Stegostoma tigrinum: one gene and its partners. The protein of the gene in region 1 interacts with the protein of each later gene in a biochemical or structural test. Links are inferred from orthologs where the notes say so. Each region holds a gene or a part of one and is shown on either strand. Other genes may lie near its edges.

Region 1 (10,883 bases):
CTTCTTCCTATTTTCTTTTATTCTCCACTGTCCTTACTACCTGACATAAAGTTGTGGCATCTCCTTCTCCTTCAACACATTGATGTGCCACAGCCACTTCTTTTCCTGTCAGTCTGGGATGTTAATTAGATCACTTAATTTACCAGTCTTTTTTAACTACTCTGTATGGACCATTGAGACGTGCTCTCAGTGGCTCATCTTTTAAAGACAGTAATATGAACATCTCATGCCTGAATTGAAGTGTTTAGGCCATAAACAAATTGAAAAGAAATGAAACCAATAGATTCACTTGATCAATCCCATGTGGCAAACAAAGGAAATTGCAGTCCTTAACAATAAGGATATTCATGAAAATCAGCTCTGGTCATCATTTTGAGGATTTGATTTGTCCAAACCTCCATGTTTCTGTTAGGGATGTGCAGAAATTTTTACCTGTTTTATACCACCCAACTACATATGACTTCTTGATAAACTGTCTATGATTGGGAAATTGTTGAAATCCATCATTAGGAACTAGCAGTATGAAGCTTGGAAAGTCAGAGTGCAATCCATTGCAGTCAGCATGGTTTTATGAAGGGGAAATCATGTTTGATTCTTTTACCAGAGTTTTTTGAAGATGGGTGACACAGTGGTTCAGCAGTTAGTGCTGATGCCTCACATCGCCAGGGGTCTGGATTTGATTCCAACCTCAGGTGACTGGTCTGTGTGGAGTTTGTACATTCTCCCTGTGTCTGCATGGGTTTCCCTTGGGTGCTCCAGTTCCCTCCCACAGTCTAAAGATGGGAATTTTAGGTGGATTGGCCATGCTAAATTGGCCAGCGTCAAGCAATATGCAGGGTAGATGGATGAGCTGTGGGAAATAGAGGACTACAGGAATAATATATGAGGATGGGGCTGGATGTTCTTTGGAGGGTTGGTGTGGATTTAATGGGCTGAATGGCCTGCTTCCACACTGAAGGGATTCTATGTAATGAACAAAGTGGGCAATGGGTGCGCAGTAGATGGCGTTTCTAGACTTTCAGAAGGCATTTAAAAAGGTGCCACACAAAAAGTTAATACACAAAGTATGATCACTTGGGGTTCACGGTAATATGTTAGCTTGGATAGAGGATTGACTAGCCAACAGAAAGCAGAAAGTCAGGATAAATAAGTTTATTTCTGGTTGGCAAACTGAACTAGTGGGGTGCCAGAGGGTTTGATCCTTGGGGCCCAACTATTTACACACTATATTAATGATTTGGATGCAGGTTAGAATATATCAGAGCCAGTTTTGCAGATGACACAAAAATAGGTGGGAAAGTAAATTGTTCTGCATAAGAATTTTACAAATTGATTTGATAGCTTAGGTGAATGGGCCAAAATTTGGCCCACTCCAGGAGAAGTTAAACATAAATAGGTGAGAGGATTTTCCATTTTGGTCACTAAACTAAAAAGGGGTAACTTGTTACCTAAATGAAAAGAAATTTCAAAATGCTTCAGTACAGAGGAACTTAGGTGTGTTTGTACACGAGCTGTAGAAAGTTAGCATGCAGTTCCAGCAGATGATAAGGAAAGTAATGGAAATTTGGTGTTTATTGCCACAGGAAAGGAGTGTAAAAATAAGGAATTGTGCTTGCAATTAATCAAATTGCAAATAAAAAGAGGCATTGATGAGACCATATCAGGAGTACTGTGTGCAGTGGGAGGTAAGGTGCAGGGGAAGTGATGTCCTAGTTGCATTATCAATAAACTATCGATTTCATGACCCTGGTGCTGTTCTGGGGATTTGGGCTTACATCATGTCATGGCAGATAGTGGAATCTGATTTCAATAAAAGTCTGGAATTAAGAGTCTACTGATGACCACAAAACCATCGCTGGTTGTTGGAGAAACCCATCTGGTTCATTAATGTCCTTTCGGGAAGGAAATCCACCATCCTTATCTGGTTTGACCGATGTGCAACTTCACAGCAATGTATTTGGTTCGTAGGGAAGAGTGATAAATGTTGGCCCTGCCAATGACATCCACATCCTGTGAATTAATTAAAGAAGGAGTTTGGTCCTTTTTCTTGAGGAGGGATATTGTTTACACATGGGATGTGGGTATCACTGGCTATGCCTGTCTCTAGTTGTCTTTGAGGAGGTGGGGGCAAAATCTGCCCTCTTGAACAGCTGCAGTCCATGTGTTATAAGTTGACCCACAGTATCTTTACAGAGGGAATTCCAGGATTTCCATCCAGTGACAATGATACATTTCCAAGTCAGGAAGATGAGAGGCTTGCAGGGAAACTTGCAGTGGTGGTGTTCATATTTATCTGCACTTGACATCCTAGATGGAAGTGGTCATGGAATGGGTAGCCATAGTGAATTATTGCAGTGCGCCTTATGGATAGTACACACTGCTGCTACTGAGTGTCAGTGGAGGAGGGAGTGAATGTTGGTGGATGTGGTTCTAATTAAGCGAGCTGCATTGTCTTGCATGATATCAACCTTCTTGAGTGTTGTTCGAGCTGCAGCCATCCATGCAAGTGGGGAGTATTCCATCACACTCCTGACTTGTGCCTTGTAGATGGTAGTCAAGATCTGAGGAGTCAGAAAGCAAGACACTTACTATAGAATTCCTTCCTCACAGCTTCCTTCAAACATTTCCCTTTGGGAAAGTGGCATCAGTGGATTTACATCAACACATGAGAAAACTGAAAAAGCCTGATTTGTTTTTTATATGAAGGAGCAAGGCTCAAGGTCTGTAAATTAATGAGTGCCTTGGACAATAGTTCAGTCAGTTATTTAGCTTATGGTATCACTTAAGATTGAAAGGACATCTTTGCAGATTAGCATGTCTAGACCAAACATATTGATTTCTTACACAAACAGTAGTATATTTGTGAAATAAACTCTGAAAAATAAGTAACAAACACTGTGTTCATTAACTCAGAAAAAGTTGATGCTGTATCTACTTCGCAATAGAATTTGAAGGCTACAGTGATACGTTAACACAGAAAAACATTACAAAATCCACAGAACACAGTAATTCCTGTGCTTTTGTAATCATGGAAATTCTATTCATAAAATATAAATGTCCATGGTTCAAAACATAATGCTGTAATAATTAATCTTTGGATCAGATTATCTTATATAGGCATTTTATCTTCCTGAATATTTACTATGGTTACTGATCTTGTTCATCATATTTGTTGTGTTTGAATGTGCAAATTGTACCATGTATGCTAGAAAGAATACATTTAATGAAATGGGCTTTTCTCGTTCATACATTTTATCCTTCTGATTTTATACTGCTGTGTTTAGTCACTGACGTCCGATGACTTGGCCCTGAAGGCAATGCTCTGTGGATGTTCACAATCCAAGAAAAAGAAATGGTTGTGGTATTTCTTGTGTGAATGGGTGTTCAACTGTTATTGTCTGTACAAGAAGAAAATGCTTAAAAAGTGCCGACTGGTACAAAAATTGCTCTAGTGAAGGATTATGAGGTAACAATAAATCAGTACAGAAAAGTTGCAGGTGCTTGTCAAACCAAAATGTGTTCTTCCAGGGAGAACCTGGAAGAATGCTGATCCCAGGAGGAGATGTCAATGAGAGGAGTTAGGTTCATATTAATGTCAGAATTGCCCAAATAATTGCCTACACTGCAGGAACTGTCTATCATGGATCTCCCATTAGAGAGTTTAGAGATTACTGGAGTCTAATTTCCTTTTAGTGAAGGAGTGCAGTTTGGAAAGCTAAGGTTGGAAAGGCTTCACAAGCCATAGTTACAGAGACATCAGTATCAGCTATTCATAATGTTCTGGCTTAAACAGATCCGTATAATACCTCAGGAGACAATTGTCAAACAACCCAGCAGGATCTGTGCCTCTTTTACCTAATCTCTTGCTACCCACCATTCAGAGTGCAGCCAGATAAATGACCCTTGACTAGAAGTCTCAGATAGGCATTTGATCATTGCAGGCCAGCGTATGAGTCAGAGAGAGTAAGTCACCAGGGTAATTTATGTTTGGGGAGTACAGCTTGCCATGTTGGGGTTATCGGAGTAGACATCAGAGCACCCTGCATTCATATAGCCCTCCAATACTCAATAACAAGTGTTACTGAACTAGAGAATATTGGTCCTGTATGAAAGCAGGCAGAAATCATATATGGCAGCAATCAAAGCTGAAAGTTTTATATACCAGTGTGCTTTTTGCATTGTCATGCCCAAATATCGCAAAGTGGCCAGTGTCAATGTATCAGTAAGAGTGACACCTCCAGACCCTGGCCGAGGATAGCATGTTTGAGTGGTCAGCAGAACATGTGCACAGAGACCAACCAGGCATAGCAGGAGATTGCCACCATTGAAGACAAGAGGTGAACCACAAAAGATCTTGGAATGAGTGCGGTGAGAAGTTTCACGGTCTGCTGTCCTCTGCCAAGATGCAGTGTTCTGCAGAAGCACACAAAGGTCCAAGTGATGGCTCAACGCTGAAGGTTGACCTTATAGTGGTAAGCATAGCAATACCACCCCTCCATCATGAGGTCAGAAGTGGGGATAGTCACTGATGATTGTGTAATGTTCAGCACAATGTGTGACTCCACAGATACTGAAGCAGTCCGTATTCAAAGGTAGCAAGATCATGACTATATCCAGGCTTGGGATTATAAGCGGCAAGTAGCATTCACACCACACAAGTGCCGAGCTATGACATTCAATGGTGTCATCATCTCTGAATCCCCCACAATCAACATCCTCAAGGTTACCATTAATCAGAAATTCAAGTGGACTTGCCACATAAACATAAAGTCTACAAGGGTAGTTGAGAGGCTAGGTGTACAACATCAAGTAATTCACCTCCTGATCCCCCAAAGCTTGTCCATTATCTACAAGGCATAAGTCAGGAGTGTCCACATCCCGTGAGTTGATATTAAAATCCTCTTCTACAGCATGGACATTTGTGTCTCTAATGTTCTCCAGTAAGGCTGTACAGTTATGGGTTGAAATATGACCGATTATGATACACTGTCAGATTCAAGAGCATTGTCATGATGGCACTGACTAATAGGCTAACATCAGTCTGCATCTTGTACTTTTTGTTTTAGTTAACTCATAGAACGTGAGTGTTGCTGGCTGGTCAGCATATATTTTCCATGGATAGAGGACGAGAGAGTTGCAGTGGGAGAGAGATTCCCTGAGGTTTGTCTCGATGGAGGAGGGTAACTTCTTCAGGGTAGGCATCCTTAGAAGAGACTTTGCAGTGGGGTTAAAAATATTTCAGAGATGATAGTAGCTGCAGATGCTGGAGAATCTGAGATAGCAAGGTGTTGAGCTGGATGAACAGCAGCATCATAGGAGCAGGAAGGCTGACGTTTCGGGCCTTCACCAGAAATGGGGGAGGGGAAAGGGGTTCTGAAATAAATAGGGAGAGAGGGGGAGGTGGATAGAAGATGGATAGAGGATGAGAGAGTTTTAGAATCCCCTTCCCCTCCCCTATTTCTGGTGAAGGGTCTAGGCCCAAAACATCAGCTTTCCTGCTCCTAAGATGCTGCTTGGCCTGCTGTGTCCATCCAGCTCCACACCGTGTTTTCTCAGATTCTCCAGCATCTGCAGTTCCTATTATCTCTGATATATTTTCCATCCCCAGTTGCCCTTGAGAAAGTCGTGGTGAGCTGCCTCTTGAACTGCTGCACTCCATGGTACTGTGGGGTGACCCACAATGCCCTTAGGGAGATAACTGCAGAATATTGTGATAACGACAGTGAAGGAATTTTTAATTACAAATTACTATCAATTCAAATTGCACATGATGGATTTCAAGCCTAATTTTCCAGAACATTACATTGGTCTCTGGTTTATACATACAGCAACAATACCACAGTGCTATTACCTATACTTGTTGTTGAGCCATCTGTATTAAAAACATAGTGGAGTTGCCACAGAAATTCCATGTTGTAGTTGCTTAAAGGTTTCACAGGCTTTAGCATCTATTGACCTTTGGTGCGTCAACAAAGCATCAGAAAAAAAACCCAAGAATTTCAGAAAGGCCTCGGTGGTAAATGATCAACAGGGCCTCCACAATTTAGGTAAACAGGTTTCCCACTAACACTGACTGATCACGATTTTGTAGGTTTGAAATTTGGTGTAAGGGAGAGAGAAGTGACTTTTCCTCAAAGCCTTGCTGCAGAACTAGAAAGATGAGAGCTAAACAAGCCTTTGGTTTGTTTGTATGCTTCATGTTAGTTGACTGGGTAAGTTTTCCTTATGAATAAGTCATACACAGAGGATACATTGTGAAGATCCAGCGGCTCTGATTTATATCCTGAGAGTAGGCCAACCTAATAACTCCTTCATAACAAAGTTAGGAAGGAGTTGTGAACTGTATTGAGAGTGGGATATAAATCAAATCCCATTACACTTCAAAAGTAATGGTCTTTCTGTAACATGTTGGCAATTAATCCGTATTGATTTAGGTAAATTTAATGAAGTGAAATGGGGCGCTATATCCCTTTGCAGATTGGTCCTTGTGAATGTAGGGGCACTGTGATTGTGATTTGCAGCAGGAAGTAGGTTTGGAAAATATAAGAATCAATCTTTGAAGGAAAATCAGTTTTTGTCGTATGAGTATAATGACATCATCTCCGTGGAAAACAAAATATTCAATCAAAGGTTATTATAATCTCTGATGTCATTACTATCATCTCCAGTGAAGTGAGCATAAAACATACGCAATTATTATCTCATGTGTTGTTAAGGCTTCATGTATACAGCTACTTTCACACATGTCAAGTAGTTTTGGGTCCATATTGATGTGAAAATTGGGGTAGAACATGGAAGTGAGGTTCCAAAGAAATATCAAGTGTCCTGAGGTACAGACAGAAGACAGAGGTCATCTCATAACAATCTGGCTTGGCTCCAAATGCATTCTTACTCCATTCTGGTAGAAAGCCAAGGTGGTAGACTGAACCTTCTCCAGAAGATCAAAGAAAGGAGGAAGTGGACACTCCCACCTGCTATTTCCTAATATTATAAATTAGCCATCATGGAGTTTATTTGCTTCTGTTGTACAATTTGGTCTCTTAATTCAGTATGTTTGTCAGGCAGTTGCCTATTACTATAACTTCAAGTAGCTTCACTCCAAATTAATATGACATCATGGGAAGTATGTTTAATGCTCAAATTTTTAAATTATAAAATTTTTGAAATCAAAGATGGAACAACAGTAAGGTGACATGCTCTACCACTCTGACACCTAGTCAAAAAGATTTAAGCTCCCACTTTATCTGCAATTTTTCCCAATGGAAGTGAAGCTATTTATTTCTTACTGTAGTGCTGTATTCTTACTGTAAATGCATGGATTTTTTAAATGCTTGTTTTCAACAGTGAAAACATGAAAATATATCCAATGTTTAGAAGAATTTCATGCATTTTATTATGTGAGGCCATAAATGCTGTCTGATCATGATTGTAAATTTCGTGAAGCAATGGAGTCTGTTATTGAAGAGAATATGTTATTTTCACACATAAGTTATCCCTTGTTCAAGGGATAGTAGGAACTGCTGATGCTGGAAAATCTGAGATAACAAGGTGTAGAGCTGGATGAACACAGCAGGCCAAGCGGCATCAGAGGAGCAGGAAGACTGATGTTTTGGGCCTAATCTAGGTTTGAAACGTCAGCCTTCCTACTCCTCTGATGCTGCTTGGCTGCTGTGTTCATCCAGCTCTACACATTGTTATCTTTGTTCAAAGGAACATGCCAGGTTGATGATTGTAGATCAGTGTCGAATATGTCAAAGGATTCCCTTTTTATTGATTTCTTACAATTGAAGATTCAGGCCCAGTCTTCCCCTGCACCTTGGGGTCCTCAACCCATTGGAAATGGCGACCAATTTAAATCTACTCAGTGTTCAGAGAAGAAATGGCAGATTTGTATGAATTGTGACTGGGTAAGTAATGCAGTTGTCACTTCATTTTTTTGAGAAATTATACATTGCAAATAACTAAAATATTTTATAATTTTGCCTAAATTCAATAGGGCTCTAAATGTCCATCTGGGTGTAGAATTCAGGGATTAATCAAGACTGAGAATCAACAAACTGATAACAGGATCCAAGCAATTCGACAGATGTTGGACATATATTCCACAGCATTTGAGAATACCCATATTACTGCGACTGAAGCTGTCAACAGAATCAGACAGACTCTAAGCAAGATAGGTGGTGAGTGGTTTATAGAAACGTAGAATCCCTACAGTGTTGAAACAGGCCCTTTGGCCCAACAAGTCCATACTGACCCTCAAAGCATCCCACCCATCCCGCATTACCTACCTAATCTACACATCCCTGAATGCTACAGGAAATTTAGCATGGCCAATCCACCGAGCCTGCATATCTTTGGAGTGTGGGAGGAAACTGCAAGCACCTGGAGGAAACCCACACAGACACTGGGAGAAGGTGCAAACTCCACACAGGCAGTGGCCCAAGGGTGGAATAGAACCCAGATCCCTGGCTCTGTGCCACTGAGTGACTATGCCGTTCCTCTGTTCATGTTTCTTAAAAGTGTCAGCTTTTATTTCCATACAAATTAAAATTGAATCACAAACTCAGATTATCACAATAGCGCATCCGTTGAGGATTGTGCAACTACAAAATTCCCCTCCCAATTAATTCAGATTCAGGAAATGCAGCTTCGACATTCATTTGGATTTAGTTCAAATTACTAATTTATTTAAAAAATGTACTTGCAGAACCCAATGAAAAACTAAATAGAAGAATTTATTTGTCATCTTTTAGGACTTGGCGACACTTATTATCAGTTGGTGGATCATCTGAATTCCAGGCTTACCATGTTGCAGAACAAAACTAACGATCAAAGTCTCAAGTTAAAAATACTAAAAGATAACATGTTAGAACAATTCAAGGTTGTCTCAAGACTGGAGGTAATTTTTTATTTCGTTTATTTGTGAGAAGTGGACATCATTGGCTGGCCAGCACTTATTACCCGTCCCTTATTGCCCTTGAGAAGGTAGTTCTGAGCTGCCTTCGTGAGCCACTGCGGTCTATTTATTATTCATTTTGAAAGTGCAATGCTTTCACTCTGAAAGTTGCAAAGTCTGCCATTTTTATTTACAATATTAACCCTAATACAGTAACTATTAATGTCATGATAACAAAGCGGGTAGCTGGATGAACACAGCAGGCCAAGCAACATCTCAGGAGCACAAAAGCTGACGTTTCGGGCCTAGACCCTTCATCAGAGAGGGGGATGGGGTGAGGGTTCTGGAATAAATAGGGAGAGAGGGGGAGGCGGACCGAAGATGGAGAGAAAAGAAGATAGGTGGAGAGGAGAGTATAGGTGGGGAGGTAGGGAGGGGATAGGTCAGTCCATGGAGGATGGCAGGTCAAGGAAGCGAGATGAGGTTAGTAGGTAGGAAATGGAGGTGTGGCTTGAGGTGGGAGGAGGGGATAAGTGAGAGGAAGAACAGGTTAGGGAGGCGGGGAACAAGCTGGGCTGGTTTTGGGATGCAATGGGGGAAGGGGAGATTTTGAAGCTTGTGAAGTCCACATTGATACCATTGGGTTGCAGTGTTCCCAAGCGGAATATGAGTTGCTGTTCCTGCAACCTTTGGGTGGCATCATTGTGGCACTGCAGGAGGCCCATGATGGACATATTGTCTAAGAAATGGGAGGAGGAGTTAAAATGGTTCGTGACTGGAAGGTGCAGTTGTTTATTGCGAACCGAGCATAGGTGTTCTGCAAAGCGGTCCCCAATCCTCCACTTGGTTTCCCCTATGTAGAGAAAGCCACACTGGGTACAGTGGATGCAGTATACCACATTGGCAGATGTGCAGGTGAACCTCTGCTTAATATGGAAAGTCATCTTGGGGCCTGGGATGGGGGTGAGGGTGGAGGTGTGGAGGCAAGTGTAGCACTTCCTGCAGTTGCAGTGGAAGGTGCCGGGTGTGGTGGGGTTGGAGGGGAGTGTGGAGCAGACAAGGGAGTCGCGGAGAGAGTCGTCTCTCCGGAAGGCAGACAAGGGTGGTGATGGAAAAATGTCTTGGGTGGTGGGGTTGGATTGTAGATGGCAGAAGTGTCAGAGGATGATACGTTGTATCCGGAGGTTGTTGGGGTGGTATGTGAGGTTGAGGGGGATCCTCTTAGGGCGGTTTTTGTTGGGGGCGGGGTGTGAGGGATGTGTTGCGGGAAATGCGGGAGACACGGTCAAGGGTGTTCTCGACCACTGTGGGGGGGATGTTGCAGTCCTTGAAGAACGTGGACATCTGGAATGTGCGGGAGTGGAATGCCTCATCCTGGGAGCAGATGCGGTGGAGGCGAAGGAATTGGGAATAGGGGATGGAATTTTTGCAGGAAGGTGGGTGGGAGGAGGTATATTCTAGGTAGCTGTGGGAGTCAATGGGCTTGAAATGGACATCAGTTTCTAGCTGATTACCTGAGATGGAGACAGAGAGGTCCAGGAAGGTGAGGGATGTGTTGGAGATGGCCCAGGTGAACTTGAGGTTGGGGTGGAAGGTGTTGGTGAAGTGGATGAACTGTTTGAGCTCCTCTTGGGAGCAAGAGGCGGCACCAATTCAGTCATCAATGAAACGGAGGAAGAGGTGGGGTTTGGGGCCTGTGTAGGTGCAGAAGAGGGACTGTTCCACGTAACCTACAAAGAGGCAGGCATAGCTAGGACCCATGCGTTTACCCTTGGCCACCCCCTTTGTCTGTAGGAAGTGAGATGAAGCCAAAGAGAAGTTGTTGAGGGTGAGGATGAGTTCGGCTATGCAGAATGAGGGTGTCAGTGGAGGGTGACTGGTCGGGCCTGTGGGACAGGAAGAACCAGAGGGCCTTGAGGCCATCTGCATGAGGAATACAGGTGTATAGGGACTGGACGTCCATGGTGAAAATGAGGTGTTTGGGGCC
Region 2 (11,317 bases), on another chromosome or scaffold:
TATTGTCACTCCAGCTGGCTGATTACCCTTAATACTGCCCTTGACAGTGCAGAGTTATTCAGGTACTGATGCCCCAAGTGTGTAACACTGTCTTAATTCTGCTCCTCCAATAGTGAAGCAAGCCCTCAAAGCTGACCCTCTGACATTATAGTGATTTCCCCCAGACTGTACTTCGACAGTGCAGTGTTCCCTCAGTACTGCAATGGAAAATCAGCTAAGTACTTTTGCTGTAGCTGCTGGAACTTGAATAGACAACCTTCTAACTCAGCAGCTAGATGGCTACCAACTGAACTGATAACGCTGCAGTCCTGAGATCTTGACAGTCAGTGGGCTCTCTCTATAGCTTGGAGGAATAGCTTTCCCTTTTTATTCTTCTCTGGCACTGAGGCCTTTGTTCTGGAGGATAAACCCCATGCCCACATCTCTTGCATTCTATCTCCACTGCAGCCTCCCTGTGTATCCTCTATCTTCCTGTCACCTCATTCTGCTCTCTCTCAATATTCCTGCAGCACTATTACCAATCACTGCGCTAGTTAATAGGTTACCAGAGATGGGATAGAAGAAGGGGAAATGGTTGTATTATGAGCAGTCTTAGCAACTCATTGATCAGACATTGACATGTTAATCACAATTTCAAATTGCAGACAATGCAAGTCCAACATTTCTCTGCTTAATATGGTCAGGAATGAGATTGGGGATGTGTGTGTTAAAACGTTACTACATTGTGTACCTACAGCACAGCTGTCAGCCACACCTTGTAGTGGTCTGGCTTTCCAAGGGTTGGGTGCGGAACAATGAAAACCACGAAGATATGAGGGGATCTCCAAGCATTCAATCACCTGGTATAGAACTGACACTCAAAGCTTGTGACTCAGAGATACTGGTTATCCACTGGTTCAAAGAGAAAGTTAACTAATTTTACTGTAGGTAGAAGTTACTAACACTGATTACTTGATTTATTGCTATCACCATTATAATCCAGCATGATATCTTGAATATTTTTCAATAAATCAGGAAGCAACTTCGAGTCTGATGGAGGGTCCTTTTTCAGCTTCTGATGAAGGGTCTAGGCCTGAGACATCAGCTTTCCTGCTCCTAAGATGCTACTTGGCCTGCTGTGTTCATCCAGTTCTACACCTTGTTATCCCTTGAGTCTGATGGAATTTAGTTGCCAAAAACGTTCATCTCCTCCTCCTCCTTTTGTTTCACCATGGACAGACTTGACTTCAGCTGTTCTCAACTTAAATTCAGAAATTTACTACTGATACATCTCTCTTTTCTCTTTCAAAAGCCAGTTTTCAAGGCCTTATGGTTTGGAATTTCTTCCCTTTGCACCTCTCTCGCTTCTTCCTTTAAAGCCATATTCCACCTCTTTAACCAAACCCCTCCATGCCATTGTTGATGCCAAGTTTTTCAGCTTCTTAGAATATCATCTCAGCTGTTAATTTACACCACCTTGTGGCATTGTGTTGATGGAGTCCCTGACTTGAGTTGGAAGAGACATAATTTCTCACCAATTGTTCAGAATGCATCTGCTGCTAGACTTCAACTGCTATGTCCAGGATTGACTCCTGAGCTGCACATAGGATAAGCTACTTGATGTGGTTTTCAACCAAACTGAGGTCGCTGCAGTCACTGCACAGGATACTTACCACCGTATGATCCCAGTGCCCCTCATCAGCCCCAGTCATAAACTACTTGATTGTCAAATACATTGATTGCTAATTTGGTTTCTTTGTTTCAGATCAGAACACAGCATCTGATTAAGAGAATAAAGAACATCCTCTTCTGTTTCTGGTTGCAGAATGACCTCTACAGATCGGTGGTTTGGATCTGTCCAGATCATGCAGGCAGCTGAGGAACATCCACACATTTATCATTGCAATGGTAGTTATTCTTACATTGCACTAAGGAATGGTTTGTGTAGCATCTCTAGTGTGATTTAGGTGGGTTGTTAAGGATGCTAATATCTCAGTATTCTCGGCCTCCAAAGCATATTATCCGTGTGCATATATTCTATACAGATGTAATCTGCACAATTTAAAGGCTTTTGGGTGAATAATTGATATCTCCTCCTCCCCAACAGATGCATGTGCAGAATGACATGGAGATAACAGACTGGCAAAAGGAGAATGCTCTCAGCCGAAAGACAAACTCAATGGAATGGGGTCCACGACTACTATCAATGATTTAAAAGAAAACAAAAAACTTTGGATGCTGGAAATCAAGTGATTATTGCAAAATCCTGTTTGATTCATTGATGCCCTTTCGGGAAGAAGATTTGCCATTCTTACCTCATCTGGCTTACGTAAGATTCCAAACTCATAGCAATGTGGTCAGTACTTAAGTGCTCCCTGAAATGGCCCAACAAACCACACTGTTCCAAATCAATTAGGGATACACTATAAGTAATGGCCTTGCCAGCAGTGGCCACATCCCAGAAAGGGATAAAGAAAAATAATTGTGGTAACTACAACCGTGAAACAGTAATGTTTCAATCAGGTGGTATGCAGTGTAGGGGGAGCTAACCAGGCTGTGCCTGTCCCAGTTTAAACTTGGGAGATTGCACGTTGGGGTTAACTAACTCCTCAATCAAACTGGTGACTGAACAGAGATAGTAAGAACTACTGATGCTGGAGTCATAGATAACACAGTGTGGAGGTGGAGGAACAAAGCGGGCTAAGCAGCATCGGAGGAGCAGGAAAGTTGATGTTTTGGGCCAGGACCCTTCTTCAGCTTTCCTACTCCTCTGATGCTGCCACACCTGCTATAATCCTCCAGCTCCACGCTGTTTCATTGGTGACTGAATAGGCCTTGCAGCAGTCAGATATCTAACCTGAGCACTTCTTCCTCCTATAATAGTAATGCTGGCCTGTAAATTTGAATTTAGTAGGAGATACATGGCAGTGCTCACACTGAACATGTTACATTCGCGCTGTTTCAGAAAGTTCACAAACATTAAAAATTTACCTCCAGCCAAGTGTTTGTTACCCAGGAATAGTTGATTGCAGTGGCCAGTGTCAGTTCAGATAACCCCGGGTGCGTTTATCTCTACTGAGTTAATGTAGTTCGTTACAATTGGATTGGGCTAATTCAGTTAACCTGGATTAATTCTTGTAGCCCAGGTTACCAAAACCAGAGCAGTAATTTAGTTATTGCAGATGAGTTTGTTTGGTCTTGGTTAAAACAGCTTGAATTGAGCTTGAATGCAGAGTTCAATGCAGTTTTTGTTCAGTTAGCCTGGATTTGTTGTATTAATCCAGAATAAAGTTATTAGCCAAGGTTAATCAATCAGGATTAAAACCAGAATTTTCCACAATGCTACCAGACCTGCTGAGCTTTTCCAGCAATTTTTATTTTTGTTTCTGATTCCAGCACCCACAGTTTTTTTCCCCTGATTTTATTTAGCTCATCGGGATGATTTTAGTCTGCCAAATTTGGTACAAACTAACCAGATTGGTTAAATAATTATCCCGGATTAGTTAATATAGGCTAATTTAGTTAGCTAGGGTTGTTTTAAATGAAACGGGTTACTTAAAGCTAGCTACTGAATTTAACCCGGATTAGTTTAGTTTGCTAGGGTGCGCTAACCTGGACCATGTGATGACATTTCCCCCCCGGGCAAGAACCCGGAAGTTGAGTTTGGCGAGAATTACAAACATTCTGGGGTAAATTCGAGGAGGGCGGCAGAAACACCACCTTGTAAAAGGATCAAATCCAAATTCTCTGTTCTGAAGTTTCTAGAAAGAGTGAAGAAGAGACACAGAAAGACCCCAGCCCGCAGCGTGCCTTGGGTAAGCGACTTTCCCCCCGCCCCGCGACCCGTTTACCTTTCCTAGCGTCTGTCTAAATCTCCACTTTACCGTGGGTTTGCTGCAAGTCATTGGAGAAAATCATCTCTCACCGTAATTACCCAAGGGAAACCGGTCAAAGAACTCATTGGCTTGTCTTGACTTCATATTCAGCATATCTAGAGGGACGGGTTACAGGAAGTTGCTCTCTCAGTCCACCAGTGTGTCCTATCTGAGTCAGCCAGTGATTCCCATAATCTCAGATTGCATCGTGGCCACACTTCTCGGTCTGCCAGTGTCTCCCCGAGTTTCCATCTGCCAATTATTTTCTGAGCCCGAATTTACCAGTGTGACCCTATCTGTCAGTGTCTCACTCTGCCAGTGTGTCAGTGTCTCAGTCTACTATTGTGTTTTTGAATCTCATTCTGTTAGTGTGCCCTTGTCTCTCAGTCTGCCAAGCCATCCACATCAGTAAATATGGTATCTCTGTCAACCAATGCATTCCTGTCTCTCTGTACAATATCAGGAAATCGCAAAAGGCATTGTTATAGCCAGAGCTGTGGGCACTGTCAATATTCTAACAAGAGTACTAAGCACTTGTGTTTTGTCATTAGCTGTTCCAGTGCAGCTGCTACACTGACAGTGTGGAAAATTGTCCAGTTATGTCTTGTGCGCTAAGAGCAAGACAAACCAACTCGGCCAATTACAACACCTGATGCCCACCCTACCCCCAATTGCCCATCAATCTCCTCTTGATTGTTGATAAATTGGTGGAATGTGTCATCAGTTGTCATTGTTATCAGCACAGAAAATGAACAGAGCATTAGATAGAGTTATTTGAAACTGTTAAACATTGCATAAATGAGTTTTTTGCTTCTGTCTTTACGAAAGAAACGAACTTTGTAGTGAATGAAACCTTTGAAGAGCAGGTGTGCATGCTGGAATGGATAGAGATAGAGGAAGCTGATGTGCTGAAAATTTTGTCAAACATTAAGATTGACAAGTCGCCAGGCCCGGACCAGATTTGTCCTCGGCTGCTTTGGGAAGCAAGAAATGCAATTGCTTCGCCACTTGCGAAGATCTTTGCATCCTCGCTCTCCACTGGAGTCGTACCTGAGGACTGGAGAGAGGCAAATGTAATTCCTCTCTTCAAGAAAGGAAATAGGGAAATCCCCGGCAATTATAAACCGGTAAGTCTCACGTCTGTCGTCTGCAAGGTGTTAGAAAGGATTCTGAGGGATAAGATTTATGACCATCTGGAAGAGCATGGCTTGATCAAATACAGTCAACACGGCTTTGTGAGGGGTAGGTCATGCCTTACAAACCTTATCGAGTTTTTTGAGGATGTGACTAGAAAAGTTGATGAGGGTCGAGCTGTGGATGTGGTGTATATGGACTTCAGTAAGGCATTTGATAAGGTTCCCCATGGTAGGCTCATTCAGAAGGTCAGGAGGAATGGGATACAGGGGAACTTAGCTGCTTGGATACAGAATTGGCTGGCCAACAGAAGACAGCGAGTGGTAGTAGAAGGAAAATATTCTGCCTGGAAGTCAGTGGTGAGTGGGGTTCCACAGGGCTCTGTCCTTGGGCCTCTACTGTTTGTAATTTTTATTAATGACTTGGATGAGGGGATTGAAGGATGGGTCAGCAAGTTTGCAGACGACACAAAGGTCGGAGGTGTCGTTGACAGTGTAGAGGGCTGTTGTAGGCTGTAGCGGGACATTGACAGGATGCAGAGATGGGCTGAGAGGTGGCAGATGGAGTTCAACCTGGATAAATGCGAGGTGATGCATTTTGGAAGGTCGAATTTGAAAGCTGAGTACAGGATTAAGGATAGGATTCTTGGCAGCGTGGAGGAACAGAGGGATCTTGGTGTGCAGATACATAGATCCCTTAAAATGGCCACCCAAGTGGACAGGGTTGTTAAGAAAGCATATGGTGTTTTGGCTTTCATTAACAGGGGGATTGAGTTTAAGAGTCGTGAGATCTTGTTGCAGCTCTATAAAACTTTGGTTAGACCGCACTTGGAATACTGCGTCCAGTTCTGGGCACCCTATTATAGGAAAGATGTGGATGCTTTGGAGAGGGTTCAGAGGAGGTTTACCAGGATGCTGCCTGGACTGGAGGGCTTATCTTATGAAGAGAGGTTGACTGAGCTCGGTCTCTTTTCATTGGAGAAAAGGAGGAGGAGAGGGGACCTAATTGAGGTATACAAGATAATGAGAGGCATAGATAGAGTTGATAGCCAGAGACTATTTCCCAGGGCAGAAATGGCTAGCACGAGGGGTCATAGTTTTAAGCTGGTTGGTGGAAAGTATAGAGGGGATGTCAGAGGCAGGTTCTTTACGCAGAGAGTTGTGAGAGCATGGAATGCGTTGCCAGCAGCAGTTGTGGAAGCAAGGTCATTGGGGTCATTTAAGAGACTGCTGGACATGTATATGGTCACAGAAATTTGAGGGTGCATACATGAGGATCAATGGTCGGCACAACATTGTGGGCTAAAGGGCCTGTTCTGTGCTGTAATGTTCTATGTTCTATGTTCTATGTAAATTTTAAAGAAAGAGGTTGAAGATTCAGTAGCCACGTGGCACAAGTTCAAGGTGACTAACAAAAGAACACAGTGAAAAGTTATTTTGCAATAACTGATTTGGGTTTGGAATGAATAGTCTTGGGCTGCTTTAAACAGAATCAATATTTTTTGCACAAGTGAACTGCAGAATTACTTGGAGCAAAGATTGAGGATGCTTGTTAAGGAACAGGGAATAGGAATAACTGGATTGTTTGTCAGGAACTGTCATGAACTTGATGAGCTAAATGGCTGTGCAATCATTTTCAATTTCATAAAATCACTACAATGTGGAAACAGGGCATTTGGCCTAACACATGCACACTGCTTCTCTGAAGCGTCCCACTCAGACCCATGTTCCTACCCTAAGAACCTGCATCTCCCATGGCTAACATACTTAATCTACACAGCCCTGAACACCAATAAACCAGCACAGCTTTGGACTGTGGGAGGAAATCGGAGCACCTGGTGGAAACCCACACTGATGTAGGGAGAACATGCAAATTGCACACAGACAACGCCAGAGGGTGGAATTGAACCCAGGTCCCTGGTGCTGTGAGGCAGTAGTGCTAACCACTGAGACACTGTGCTGCCCAATGATTCAATGACAGTGCTTTCAGATACCACATCCTCACCAATAACCCTCTCACCAATGTTTCGTTAGGTTTCCGCCAGGGCATTTGGCTTCTGTTCACATTGCAGCTTTGTTCCAAACACTGATGAGGGCTGAATTCAAAAGGTAAGTTGAGAATGACTGCTCCTGACATTAACGCAGCATATGACCAAGCATTACATCAAGGACCCCTTCCTAAAAAGCATTTAATGAGCACGCTCCATTAGTTGGAGTCCTGCCTAGCACACAGAAGTACTGTTGTATTTGTTGGAGCCAATCGTCTTTGTTCTCAAACATCACTGAGGAAGGTCCTTGCTGGACCCGTTCCTAGGCCTACACTACAGGGTAGATATTTTCTATTCAACCTGTTCACACATAAAGGGGAGATGATGGCCTAATGGTATTATCGCTGAACTGTTAATTCGGAGACCCTGGTAATGTTTTCAGGACCTGATGGCAGATGGTGGAATTTGAATTCAAAAAAATCTGTAACTAAAAGTCTAATGATGACCTTGAAACTATTGTCAAATATTGGGGAAAAACCTATCTAGTTCACTAATGTCCTTGAGGGAGGAAAATTGCCATCTTTACCTGGACCAGACTGCATGTGACTGCAGACTGATAGCAATGCAGTTGACTCTTAACTGTCCCTAATGGGCAATTAGGGATGGGCACTAATGTTGATCTAGTCAGCCGTGCCCTGTTCCTGAGAATGAATTTTAAAACAAGAATTATTTCACACTTGGAGCAGGTAGGGCTTGAACTTGGGCCTCCTGGCTCACAGCTACCACAAGCCCCTTGTAAGAGTCCTTGGCCAAAACATCATCTGCTGTTTCATTGACATTCCCTCCATCATAAGATCAAGCATAGAGATGGTCACAAATGAGTGATATTCAGTACCATTTGTAACTCCTCAGAAACAATGAGGGCCCACTTACAACATTACCTGGACAAGATTCTGGCTTAGACTGATAAATAGCAAATAATCTTTCTCTTACAAGTGTAAGATTTCAAATGACAGAGAATCTGTACTCTTCCTGTCTTTACTTTCTGGCCATTGGTGTTCAATTGCTTTAACACCAGGTGGTCTGATCAGCAAGTTTGCAGATGACACTAAGATTGGTGGAGTAGCAGATAGTGAAGGGGACTGTCAGAGATCACAGCGGAACATAGATATGCTGGAGAGTTGGGCAGATAAATGGCAGATGGAGTTCAATCCGGGCAAATGTGACGTGATGCATTTTGGAAGATCAAATTCAAGGGCGAACACTACAGTAAATAGAAAAGTCTGAGGGAAAATTGATGAACAGAGACCTGGGTGTTCAGGTCAATTGTTCTCTGAAGGTGACAACGCAGGTCAATAGGGTGGTCAAGAAGGCATATGGCATGCTTTCCTTCATTGGACGGGGTATTGAGTACAAGAGTTGGCAGGTCATGTTGCAGTTGTATAGGACTTTGGTTCAGCCACATTTGGAGTACTGTGTACAGTTCTGGTCGCCACATTACCAATAGGATGTGGATGCTTTGGAGACGGTGCAGAGGAGATTCACCAGGATGTTGCCTGGTATGGCGGGTGCTAGCTATGAAGAGAGGTTGAGTAGATTAGGATTATTTTCATTAGAAAGATGGAGATTGAGGGGGGACCTGACTGAAGTCTACAAAATCATGAGGGGTATAGACAGGGTGGATAGCAAGAAGCTTTTTCCCAGAGTGCGGGACTCAATTACTAGGGGTCATGAGTTCAAAGTGAGAGGAGGAATGTTTAAGGGAGATATGCGTGGAAAGTTCTTTACACAGAGGGTGGTGGGTGCCTGGAACGCATTGCCAGCGGAGGTGGTAGACGCAGACACATTAGCATCTTAAAAGATGCATTTGGACAGGTACATGGATGGGCAGGGAGCAAATGGACACAGACCCTTAGAAAATAGATGACAGGTTAGACATAGGCTCTCGACTGGCGCAGGCTTGGAGGGCCGAAGGGCCAGTTCCTGTGCTGTAATTTTCTTTGTTCTTAACACTGCTGAATCAACATCCAGGGGTTCCCAATGACAAGAAACTGAACTGGACCAGCCATATAAACCATATGGCTTTGAGAGCAATTCAGAGGCTGGGAAGTCTGCAGTGAATGACTCACCTCCTGACCACCTAAAGCTTCTCCACATCTGTGGGTGCACCAAGACAGCACATTATCAGCAGGTCAAGAATGTGGTTCATGACCACATGCTAGGGAAGTTATTTGTTTATTTAGCATGCATATTATCATGGAACCACGAAATAACCTTGCCAATGGCAAGATGGAATTTTTAAAGCCAGCCTTCACTTTAGTCAGAGGACACTCCTTGACAATGTGAGTTCTTATTTGGCCTGCATCGTAGAAGTGATCTTGATGGTCTTGGTTGGTTGGTGCTGGCTTAATTTCATTTCTAATTCTTGGAAACACTGGTGTAATTTCAGGCATTTCAATGTGATTGGGCATGATACCAATGTGCAACTTGTGTTACTATTTAGAACACCGTCGGGAAGCAATTCTTCACAAAGTTGGGGGTTAAATTCTGGAATTCTCACCCTCAAAAAAGCTGTTGAGGCAGAAGTTCAATTGAACACTTTAGAATGGAGATTAGCTGACTTTTGTATTTATTTTCAAACTTTAATGAGATGTGGGCATTGCTGACAAGGCCAGCATTTGTTGTTAGTCCCTAAAAGCCATTGAACTAATTGGTTTATTGAACCATTTGGTAGAAATAGTTAAAAGGCAACGTCATTCTTCTGAGCCAATAGAATAGACCAGGCAAGGACAGCAGATTTTGTTCCCGAAAGTACATGAATGAAATTGATGACTTAGTCAATGATAATTATCATAGTCTCCACAATGACACCAGCTTTCAATTCCAGATATTATTCATTGAATTTAAATTCCACCAACTGCCATGGTGGGGTTTGAACCAGTGCCCAAAGAGTATGAGCCTGAGCTTCTGGATTACTCATCAAATTACACTACCATTACATCTGCTCCCTTTAAGACAAGGTATTAATAGATATAGAACCAAGGTGAGTAGAGGGAGGTAAGATTCAGATTAACCATGATTTGATTGATGAACAGAACAGGTTTGAGGGGCTGAATTGCCACCTCTTGTTCCTCTTTTTCCATTGAACAGCAGAATTTGCTTCTGCAAACTATCATAATTCCATTTTGCTTCCGTAATAAACAATAATTCAGGTTGAAATTAACAGTCACTTGGACAAATGTGAACTAATGCAGCAGCATGGATTTGATGAGGGCAAATAAATTATTCGAGTTACTTCATGACGTAACACAATGGGTAAATAAGATAATGCAACACATAGATAACTAGGTTGTCAATAAAGCTAAAGATCATGGATTAAAAGGGATAGTCGCGTTCACCCTGTTAAGCTCTTTAAGAATCCTTTATGTTTCAATGAGATCACTTCTCATTCTTCTAAACTCCAGTGAGTAGAGTCCCAACCTGTTGAGCCTTTGCCCATGAGACAGTCCTCCAAACTAGGGATTATCCTAGTGAACTTTCTTCGAATTGCCTCGAATGAACTAACATCTTTCCTTTAAATAACAGGACCAATATGCCCACAGTGCTCCAGATGTGGTTTCACCAGTGTCTTATACAATTATAGTAAAACTTCCCCACTCTTATAGACAAACCACCTTAAAATAAAGAGCCAACATTCCATTAGCCTTCCTAATTACCTGGTGTGCCTGTGTGATAGCTTTCTGTGTTTTGTGCACAGGGACGGAAGATTTGAATTATAAACGTAGGCTGGGATTTCTTTCACTGGAACGTAGGAGTTGAGAGGTGACCTTATAGAGTTTATAAAATTATGAAGGTTATAGATAAGGTTATTGGTAGCTGTCTTTTCCCAAGGATGGGGATTTCACGACTAGAGGGCATATCTTTAAGGTGAGGGGAGAAAGATTTTAAAGACATGAGGACCAACTTTTTTTATGCAGAGTGGTTTGTGTGTGGAATGAACTTCCAAAGGAAGTAGTGGATGTGAGCACAGTTACAATGTTTAAAAGACATTTGGATACGTACATGAATAAGTTTGGAGGGATGTGAGTCAGGAGCAGGCAGGTGGGACTAGTTTAGTTTGGCATTATGTTCAACGTTGACTGGTTGGACTGAAGGGTCTGTTTCCATGCTGTATGACTGAGTGAATCTAAGTGCCCCTGAGTTTCTTTAGTGTTGAAGCTTTTTGCAGTGTTTCTCCTTATAAATAATTTTTTTTTGTTCTCTCTTCTAAAATAGACAACTACATATTTTCCCACATTAGACTCTTTTGCCCACTTATTTAACCTATCTATACCTTTTTGTA
Region 3 (10,821 bases), on another chromosome or scaffold:
GCCCATCTGATCAACGTCCCATTGTACTCTGAGGTAGCCTTCTTCACTGTCCGCTGCACCTCCAATTGTGGTGTCATCTACAAACTTATGAACCAGGCCTCCTATGTTCACATCCAAAAAAAATTATGTAAATGATGAAAAGCAGTGGAGCCAGCACCGATCCAATGGCACACCACTGGTCATTGGCCTCTGGTATGAAAAGAAACTCTCCACCACCACCCTCTGTCCACTACCTTCACGCTAGTTCTGTATCCAGAAGGTTGGTTGTCCCTGTTTTCCATGAGATCTATCCTTGCTTTTTAAGATACTACAGCATATCATGTGAATTGGAAATATTTGCATGGTGCTTTCAGCCACCATCCTTGTTAGAAATCATATTCAGGATACAGAGTCTCAGCAACCTCACCTTAAGATTTGTATATAATGAAATTGCAGTATCTGTTCACATCTCTCCTTTGAGACATCAATGTTATTTATTTGCTGGATAAGTCAGTCCAAAAAGCTATTAACTCCCATCCTCCACTCTCTGGCACTTCTTACTAGAGATAATGATCTCAGACAAGGAATAATTTTCAATGAGAGATCCATAATCTTAGTATCGCATCCTCCGAGGTGCACTCGCTTCCAATTTATCTCATTACATCCCGGCTGACAAAGACAGATTACATTCAACTGCATTTCTCCATCCTGAGACACTGGGAGCAAGGTCTAATTAGTTCGGGGGCGGGGAAGGGCGTTTGCGGAATATGCAAGAACAAAGAAGCACGGTAGAGCAAGGGAGCAGTTATTCAAATAGAGATTTTCCTCACCTACGCTGGAGATCCGCTGGCTCACTAGATCTTCCAGCAAAGCTTCAATGGCTGGATTGTGGCGAGAATATAACTCATAGCGGTTTATCCCGATGTGAAATTTTAACCAGTTGGGGTACGAGTCTATGGGGGGATCGCCAGTCGCTGCAAGACCCTCCTCATCTTCATTCACCCTGAAAGAGAATGCATGGGGGAGGAGAATCAAACCTACTGGCGACATTGTCACCGTACCACTTGGGGAAGGGGGTTTGTTTGTGATATAAACAGCCAAAATGAGAGCAAAGGAACGGAAGGGAAGAGGTGGGAATGGTGGACAACAACAGTGTGAGAGAAAGATGGGCGAGAAATGGAGGAGAAGCAAGAGAGGGAAGTACAGATGGGGGAGCGGGGGTAGAGGCGCGTCCAAGTTCGCTTCCACTTAGCCCTCAGAGAAAATTCCACCGAAACGAAGCTTCAAAATAAGCTGACACACAGACTGGGTGACTGTAAAACCAGGAAATCCTGTTTCTGTGAATAGCGATCTGACCCTCAACGTGTAAAATTGAGGCAATAGTTTTAACATGTCCTTGACTTTGGAGACAGAATGCTTCTTACATATACATCCGACAGCGACAGAAACTCAATTCCCCCTTCCACAAGAGCCTGGCCATACCAGAGGAGATCCTACCCGGTATCTAATACCGTCCCAGGTGCTGGCGATGCCAGATTAAAAATAACGCCTGCGGTAACCTGTTCAAGGAAAGCTATGACTTCAGATAAGGCGATTGGAAAGAGAGGGCTGGGAGAAACAGGTACAAAGTTCATGGGAAGAGCGAGCAGGGCGAGTGATCTCAGATGTGAAGAAGGTTGCAATGGGATGACTGAGACAAAGAAAGCAGAGCGGTGTGAAAGGAGAGTAGGTAGAGAGTGAGGTCCAGAGGGAGAGGACGGAGAGAGCAGGCACAGGCAGACACGGACACTGCTAGAGAGCTGCAGAGGATGGTCAATGTAGCTGAGAGAGCTCCTGGTCACAGCCATAATACTCTGGTACCAGTGTTCAGTGAAACCACATTGAACGCTGTGTCAGTAACACAGAGGGTGACCTGGCGGAGATTGGTTCTGCGGAAGACGAAGGTTTTTTTAATGTTAAAGGGGGGAAAGGTGGATAGGGAATGTATTGATTCTGTGCTATTTACTCGCCCAGAACGATAGTTCCTCTACAGAGGTTTAGAAATGTACGGGATACCAATCTCAAAGACAGAACTCCATGCAGGCGAAAGGATGAGATACAAAAGCACAGCTTGCATCCGGGAAAAGCTTCTTTATGAGGGTGAGAATTTCTTCGCAGCTTTGCTTTTACCTCGATCTTTCTTCCCTCTCTCTTACATTTTCTCTCCGTCTCTCCGCTCAATTTCCCCTGCATCTTTCTGTCACCGTATATTCCCCAACTCTGTGTGTTCCTGCTTGTCTTGTCTGTCCTTCTGTCTATCTGTCTCCCTCTGAGCGTCCCTTTTAGTCTCTTTTTGTCTTCCCTTCATCACTCATTTGGTCTGCTTCTCTCTTTGGCCCCTGACTTTCTCTGGCCACCTTTCTCTCTCTCTTTGTTTGCCGCACTTGCTATATCTCTCTCTCCCTTTCCCTCTGTCTCGCTTTCTGTCTTTTGCTGTCTCCATCTCTCTCTCTGCCTTTCGCTCTCCCTCTCCTCGTTTGCCTGTCTCTGTCTCTATCTTTCCCACTACCTCTCTGACGCTGTCTCTGTCTCTAAATCGCTGTCTGTTCACCTCTCTCTGTTTCCCTCTGTCTCTATCCCTATCTCTCTCTCTCTCTGCCAACCGCTCGCTGTCACTCTCTCTGCCTCTCCCTCTGTCCCCGTCGCCCCGTCTCTCTCCCTCGCTCACTGTTGACAATTTTCCTGGCTCTCTGAGTCTGACTGCTTTTCATTAACTGTCACTTATTCCCCTGCCACTCTTTCTCTTTCTCTCTCTGTCTCTCCCTGTGCACTAATGTCCTGGTGTGGCTCTCGGTGTCTGTAGCTAAGTCTTCAAGAAATTCGCACAGTTCCTCGATCTGCACCGGCGGCTGTGGGATTCTCGGTGACCGGGGGGGCGGGTGAGAATCACGGAGAGTTCGGAGCTCTCGACAGCATCAAACCGGTAGGGGCTGCGTCTACAAAGCCTGAGGGAGGGAGGGGGAACGGGCTGGAGTGAGCGCTGAGTCCTCGGCTTCCCGCATGAGTGAGCCCAGGGACAGAACTGACTGCAGGGTAAACGGGAACGAGTTAAACTCACTTACCAGTCGCGGGGAAGTTTAGGGTTAAATTTTATGTCGGTATTAATGTTGAACAAGATTTCTCCTTGAGTAAGTGCTGGGAGCGGGCTCTGGTACAGAGGATGTTTGAAGAGTGCAGTCAGTTTGGAGAACTGGCCGGGAGCTCGGATTACAGCCTCCAGGACCCGATCTGGGATCAGCCTCTTGTAGTGCTCCTCACCCGCTCTCAGTCCGGTTTCCTCAGCCTTAGCCAGGGTCTGCGAGCCGCTCCGGTTCGATCCGGCTGCCTGGTCGCTGCTGAAATCCTGCAGGATCCGGAGGGTGTGTTTGTTGGGCCAGACAACAGCATCTCCTCCGGCACCCCCTCCTGGAGGAGCGGCCCCAGCTAGTGGCTTGCCCCAGGCCGGGAGCCCCGGCTGCAGCTCGGGACCAACAAGCAGCGAGTCCCGGTGCTGACAGGGGCAGCCCGGTCCAGCCCCTCCTCCGGAAAGCCCCGGCTCCGGTCTCCGCTCCAGCTTGGGCAGCAAGTCAATGAGAATGTGCATGGTGCAGGCGATCAGAAACACCGTGACGATAAGCACCCGGAATCTGCGGAGCAGCATCATTGCTGGGATCGGGCCGACGGGAGGTGGAGTGGGGTTGGGCGGGGTGGGGGTGGTGGTGGGGAGTGCTCAGAAAAAAAAGTCAGGCTCCCGAACAAATTAAAAGAGATTAAAACGATTTCAATTCAGCTGCAGAGCGGCCCGTTTCATTTGGAAGGATCCGCATTGAGCCCGTCTCCATCGTTAGTCCTGGCGCTTCCCAGTTGCGGAAAATAAATGTATCTATTTGGCGCAGTGTGTGTTTGTTTTCCTTTTTGTCCTTAACCTTCCATTGACTCAGAAAACCAGACACAACAGACACCCCGAAGAAAACTAAAACATGTTTTGTTTTAAAATGTAATGTCGGTGGCGACCCCTCGGCAATGGTCGAGTGTCCAAATGAAACACATAAGACACACGAAATCTTCCGCCCGTCTCTCCTCCACCTCAAGGAGCAGTGTTGAAACTCCTCACTGCCCAGTTACAAACCCTCCTCCAACAGGACGAGGCAGCTCCGCTCTCTTCTCAGGCTCCTGCCTCGCATGTGTCAGCCCAAGGAGAGAGGTGTGGGGCTGTGAGATTGTCACAGGATCAGAGTGAATGAAGCCTTGCAGCGAACATCTCTCTTGCTCTCCGTCTTTCCCTCTGTGTCTGTGTGTGTGTGTATGTGTGTGTGAGTCCAGTAGCTATGAGCCTGCCAGATGTGCAAATGTTTTATTTAGCCGTCCCCCAGTGAAGGGAAGGAAAACGTCACGTTTGGGAGGAGGGCTGGACTCCCGCGTGTTGGGAAACTGATGCCAGCTTCAAATCCCCTCCTCCCCAGTCAGGACCTCAGGCAACACGCATCCACCGCGGCTTCCAATCAGAGTGAAGGGCCGGCTTTACATGACACACGCCCCCTTCCACACCCACCGCACATACACACCGGCCTCTTGAGCCACCCCCCCCCCCCCCCAACAAAGAAACAGAACTACCGAGAAAACACAATTTATGGAAAGAGATATAGTGATACAAGGGGATAAACGGAAGTAGGTACATCGAGGGAGAGGCAGAGACACTGGGAAAGCAAGGCACAAGCTGAACGAGGTGGAGGTGGCGGTGGGGAGACAGGGATGGTAGGCGAGGGGAGGGGTCTGAGAAAGAGGCGGATAGAGGGAGAAACAGAAAGACGGGAAACAGAAAAGAAGAAAGAGACTGAAAGAGAAAGGGAGGCGTACGGAGGGAAAGACAGACGAGAGAGAGAGACAGACAGGGATCCACAGCCAGAAACAGTCAGCCTTGCACAACTTCGCCTGTGGAATGTGTCTCCTTGTTCCTGACTGATTTCCAAACAGTCCCTATTGCCCGAGCCAAGTCTCCGCGCTGGCCGGCCGCCTTCATTTTCCCTGTCAGAACAGATCGCGAGGAAATGACATTATTCTGACACTTTTATGTTCAGATGAACCCTGGATCTTGTTAGCAACTGATAGCAGGACTGTACAATCCATAGGGCGAAAAATGAGCTGCTTTGAGGCTGCTGCCGAGTTAGTTGAAGAGCAGGTTGATTTTTATAATCGCTATAACATGGCCAATGTAAAATGGGATAAACCCCCGCCGCACATTGAATATTCAAATACTCTGACAATTTAAAATCGCAGAGATGTACAGCACGGAAACAGACCCCTCGGCCCAACTCGTCCGTGCCGACCAGATATCCTAAATTAATCTAGTCCCATTTGCCAGTTTGTGGCCCATATCCCTCTAAAGCTAAGATAACGAGATGTAGAACTGGGTGAACACAGCAGGGCAAGCAGCATCAGAGGAGCAGGAAAGTTGACTTTTCAGGTCTGGACACTTCTTCAGAAAATGAAGAAGGGTCTAGACCCGAAATGTCAGCGTTCCTGCTCCTCTGATGCTGCTTGGCCTGCTGTGTCCATCGAGCTCTATACCTTGTTATCACAGATTTTCCAGCATCGGTAGTTCCTGCTATCCCTCTAAACCTGTATAATATTCATATAACCTTAAAAGTTCGGAACTGACGGGATTCTTCGTTTCGACTATGTGCTGTCAGACAATGTGTAAAACCCTGGGGAAGTTGCAATCCAACTGCCTGTAAGGAAGAGAACAGCCTTCAGTTTCTGCTTGTTAAACCCAGTCCCTCTTGAACGAGCGCTACAGATGGGTAACGTATAATAAAGCCAGACAATGCTGGAAAGACTCAGCAGGGCCAGACAGCATCGTGAAGAGAGATCTCCGTGCTGTTTCCGGGGGATCCGTCTGCTCCCTCCCTGTCTGCCGAACGTTCTCACTGCAAATCTGCCCGTCATGACTCATCCCGTCCATCACCCTCTGACATTGCGAGAGATACAGATTATATAGTTCTTGCTGTCTTTTCCACCTCATTGGTTCCTTCAACACTTCCCACAGGTTCAGCCCAGCAGTAAAGCCCGTTAGAACTTGTCTAGTTTAATAGTGATTTCCTTTACGGATGCTGCAAGAGCTGCTGAGCTTTTCTAGCAAATTTGTTTTTGTTACAAAGCTACAAATAGGCATAGCTACAAATCGAGCGGTGATAGATTTAAGACAGATGTCAGAGGCAGGTTCTTTACTCGGAGAGTGGTAAGGGCGTGGAACGCCCTGCCTGCCAATATAGTCAACTCAGCCACGTTAGGGGCATTTAAACAGTCCTTGGATAAGCATATGGATAATGATGGGATAGTGTAGGGGGGAGGGGATTAGATTAGTTCACAGGTCGGCGCAACATCGAGGGCCAAAGGGCCTGTTCTGCGCTGTATTGTTCTATATATTTGAACCACGCAAGGAAATCGCCCTGAGTGCATCTCTTGTTACAATGACAGAACATTGGTAGTTTACAAGGCACCAATATTGAAAGAAAAATGAAGGTATTTGTTAATCGCTAAGGTAGCCCTTCGGCTAATGGATTTGTCATTTTAGCAGCAGCGATAGAGACTTTAATTACGTCCCAGTCCACAAGAACATTGCTCAGTGATCTCTCTCCCTCAGGACTCGGGCAGCCTGCAGTACCGACGTCAGGCAGAGGTGGTAGGAGCAGAGTTACTTTGAGATGGTGACCACAATGACTGCTCACTCTCCGTTCTCCACCCCATAACATCCTAACTGCTCCAAAGGAGAGACTCCGCGCCTTGTGTTAAAAGGAGATCACCTTCCGACGAGAGGAAAGTTATGGCCAAAATCTCCTTCCGGCTGTTTCACGCGATGACCCATTTAAAAAAAAATCAAATCAATCGTTGCTCTCTGATGAAGGGTCTAGGCCCGAAACGTCAGCTTTTGTGCTCCTGAGATGCTGCTTGGCCTGCTGTGTTCATCCAGCCTCACATTTTATTATATCAAATCAATCAGCGCAGATTAGTCTGAACCTACCAGTTTCTCTCAATTTCTGAATATATAGTCCCGATCCCATAAATGCACAATAACAAAGTGTGAAGCTGGATGAACACAGCAGGCCAAGCAGCATCTTAAGAGCACAAAAGCTGACGTCTCGGGATGAAGGGTCTAGGTCCGAAACGTCAGCTTTTGTGCTCCTAAGATACTGCTTGCCCTGCTGTGTTCATCCAGCTTCAGACTTTGTTATCTCGGATTCTCCAGCATCTGCAGTTCCCATTATCTCTGCCCAGAAATGCACGTCTCGTTTTCTCGCCACTCATGACTCATTCGAAGCGGGCACAGACTTGATGGGCGGAACGGCCTCCATCTCTGCTGTGAATCCTTTCATGAATGTACAATTCTCAGTCTTCCATAAACAGGGCGGATCGCGCCCAACAAAGTCCCCTCTCTGTAAGATAACGGTGTGAAGCTGGATGAACACAGCGGGCCAGCAGCCTGCAAGGGGAAGGTTAGAGCCTTTGTGCCACAGTGGTAATTTTCCCATCTCTGGCACAGAAGATCCGGCTTTGAGACATCCTGCCTAAGACGTATTACAACGTGTTTGAACAAGCTGATTAAAAATATTTGCACGAGAAAGGTGATTATTTTGTTTCACAAGGACATTTTTCGTTTATTTTGCGCGTGTCCGATAACGAGTATAATTTGAATGGAGTATCATACCTCTTTGTCCACACGGACAGTAGATTTCTCTCTTATCTGCCACTTTGACAACCAGCCCGAAAGCAATTTGCAAATTTGCAGGTCGTAGCCGTGAGTGCCTGGTTAGATGCAGCTATAAATCTCGGAAAATAATTAACCTCTTGGCCGTGCCGCTGAACAATGTGGGACTTCAAGAGTTCTCAACTTCTGTTAAAACAACCCTTGTAGATTTCATTAAACGCGCAAGATCGTCTCGGCACCTCATTTTTTTGGATGGGAGGATGGGCTAGGGCGCCAATAATATCATTTCACTGCGTTTATCTGTCGGTGAATTTATATAGCACCTTATCGAGACCTTCTTAGAATGAACGGCTTTGGAAGTTCACTAACCATCGTCACGTAGGCGAATTTAACAGCATATTTATTAACACCGCCTGGGTGAATGCTTGATAATCCAAAATCTATTCATCTTGACATTGCAACAGGCTTGAAAGGGGAAACCGTTCAGTCCTGGAGTCCCATTTTATCCTTCAATCAAATCATGTTGCACAGTCGAGAGTGAAGAAGGTTATCTAAAGATAACAAAAAGATTGGGCCAGTGGGCTGAGGAGTGGAAAATGAAGTTTAATTAAGATATTGCATCTTGGTAAAGCAAACAAGGGCAGGGCTTTTGCAGTTAATGGTAGGGCCCTTGGTAGAGGACCCACCTATACTCTCTCCACCTATCTTCTTTACTCTCCATCTTCGGTCCGCTTCCCCCTCTCTCCCTATTTATTCCAGTTCCCTCTCCCCATCCCCCTCTCTGATGAAGGGTCCAGGCCCGAAACGTCAGCTTTTGTGCTCCTGAGATGCTGCTTGGCCTGCTGTGTTCATCCAGCCTCACATTTTATTATCTTGGGGCCCTTGGTAGAGTTGTCCAACAGAGCCCTAGGGGTTTAGGTACATAGCTCTTTGAAGTTTGCATCAGAGGTGGGTAGGGTGATTAAGAAGGTGTTTAGCATGCCTGCCTTCATTGCTCAGACCTTCCAGTATAGGAGTTGGGATGTCATGTTGAGGTTGTACAGAATGTTGGTGAAGCCACTTTTGGAGCACTGTATGTACTACTGCTCTCCCTGCCATAGGAAGGAAATTATTAAATTGGAGAGGGTTCAGACAACAGTTACCAGGCTGTTGCCAGGACTGGAGGGTTTGGATTTTAAGGAGATCTTTCACTGTAGTGATGGAGGCTGAGAGGTGACCTTGTAAATGTTTACAAAATCGTGAGGCGCATCAAGAAGGCGAATAGCAAAGGTTTTTTCCCGAGGTTTGGGGAGTCCAAAACTGGAGGGCACAGGTTTAACGTGAGAGGAATAAACATTTAAATGGCACCCGAGAGACAACCTTTTCACACAAACGTAGTGTGTGGAATGAACTGCCAGAGGAAGTGATGGATGCAGGTACAGTTACAACACTCAGAAGACATTTGGACAGGTACCTGAATAGGAAAGGTTTAGAGGGATATGCGCCAAACACAGGCAAATGAAACTAGACTAGTTTGGGAAACGTGATTGGTGTGGACTAGCTGGCCTGAATGGTTTGTTTCCATGCTGTATGACTCTATGACAGATTCTTGCTTTTAATTCCTGTCCCCACCCCATAGCTTCATATTGATTTATACCATTACCTAACAAAAAAAAGTTAGACTCAGTTTGCAATTTTTCAAATGGACTTCCAGGCTTTCAGACGGCACAGTTATAGATTTTCATCACCTTATCTGTGAATAAATGCTTCCTGAATCAGTCCTGAATGGTTCAGTTTTAATTTTAAGGTTATACTCTTTGTTCTGGGCTCTATTCCCCACAGAAGTAAGTGTTCACCTCTGCCTGCCTTATCTTAAACACTTTAGTTTAGTTCATTAGTCCTTTATTAGACAACAGACAATAAGTGCTGGAGTAGGCCATTTGGCCCTTCGAGCCAGCACCACCATTCATTATGATCATGGCTGATCATCCACAATCAGTATCCTGTACCTGCCTTATCCCCATGACCCTTGATTCCACTATCTTTAAGAGCTCCATCCATCTCTTTCTTTAACGTATCCGGAGAGTTGGTCTCCACTGACTTCTGGGGCACAGCATTCCATTCCACTCTGTGGGAGAAGAAGATTTTCCTCAACTCTGTTCTAAACGGCTGACCCCTTATTTTAAAACTGAAACTTATTTTCTATCATCAAGGGAACACATGTCGAGTTTCTGCAAACCATCCACATCATATAAACTCTTCAGGCCCAGTATTATTTTAATGAAACTACACTGCCAAAACCAACATAGTATTCCTGAGGTATGGTGTCTTGACTAGCATTCATCCATTTTGTTGTCATCCCTGTCTTTCTGTGCAGCTACAACATTTACTAGCACATGATGACATTTCAAATTGTGAAAGATGTTGTGGATGAAGCGCCTTGGGGTGTGTTGAGGATGTGACAATTACTTAAGCTGTTTGTCTATTTTCCAATGAGTTGTATTGCCCAATTTCAGGTTAGTTTCTGTCTATTAAAAGTGGCTCAGTTTCAATATGTTGCTGAGTAACTCAGAGAGCTGCATGCACATGAACAGGATGACACATGAAAGGAATATTCAGCCCTGACATGGATCCCCAGATTATAGCCTTCAGTCACGGCCTACTATGGGAAGACAACACAATCCGTGTTAGGGCACGCCAGCCTGTCAAACTGCTCATATTGATTATCCTTCCATTTGTAAAATTGTAGTAACTGTTTTGCACCAAAGTATTGGTATGCAGCAATAAGACTTGATTTTCAATGATTCAAAACTTTAAGTCCCATTCAAAAACATGTTTCTAAAAGTTCTTAAGACAGATGGTGTTTCACTCTATGATAACATACGACGAGGAGTTCTTACATATTTTATGTCAGTATGCTATTAGAGCCAATGGTATATGTGACTTGTATATAATGTCAGATGCTGTGCTATATCACATGTAGTGGTATACTGTTCAGTGATTCCACAGAGTCATACAGCATGAAAACTGACACTTCAGTGCAACTCATCCATATCGACCAGACATCCCTCATTGACCCGTTCCCATTTACCACCATTTGGCCCACATCCTCTAAACCCTTCCTATTCATATACCCATTC

The links.
Region 2: the proteins of fga (region 1) and plat form a complex in vitro, tested with the Homo sapiens proteins (2 studies listed by BioGRID). The link is inferred for Stegostoma tigrinum from reciprocal best matches to the Homo sapiens genes FGA and PLAT.
Region 3: of the proteins of fga (region 1) and extracellular serine/threonine protein kinase FAM20C-like, one has a biochemical effect on the other in vitro, tested with the Homo sapiens proteins (2 studies listed by IntAct). The link is inferred for Stegostoma tigrinum from reciprocal best matches to the Homo sapiens genes FGA and FAM20C.

What each region holds. Positions count from the first base shown.
Region 1 is NC_081354.1:53,994,801-54,005,683, reverse strand, and holds the start of fga (fibrinogen alpha chain), read left to right. Parts: upstream 1-6,086; 5' UTR 6,087-6,158; coding exon 6,159-6,212; intron 6,213-7,790; coding exon 7,791-7,907; intron 7,908-7,996; coding exon 7,997-8,180; intron 8,181-8,753; coding exon 8,754-8,899; intron 8,900-10,883. UniProt on the Homo sapiens protein: Cleaved by the protease thrombin to yield monomers which, together with fibrinogen beta (FGB) and fibrinogen gamma (FGG), polymerize to form an insoluble fibrin matrix. Fibrin has a major function in hemostasis as one of the primary components of blood clots.
Region 2 is NC_081393.1:16,073,349-16,084,665, forward strand, and holds the start of plat (tissue-type plasminogen activator), read right to left. Parts: upstream 4,020-11,317; 5' UTR 3,905-4,019; intron 3,795-3,904; exon of another isoform or gene 3,615-3,794; intron 1-3,614. UniProt on the Homo sapiens protein: Converts the abundant, but inactive, zymogen plasminogen to plasmin by hydrolyzing a single Arg-Val bond in plasminogen.
Region 3 is NC_081376.1:36,613,448-36,624,268, reverse strand, and holds the start of extracellular serine/threonine protein kinase FAM20C-like, read right to left. Parts: upstream 4,355-10,821; 5' UTR 3,662-4,354; coding exon 3,081-3,661; intron 983-3,080; coding exon 810-982; intron 1-809. UniProt on the Homo sapiens protein: Golgi serine/threonine protein kinase that phosphorylates secretory pathway proteins within Ser-x-Glu/pSer motifs and plays a key role in biomineralization of bones and teeth.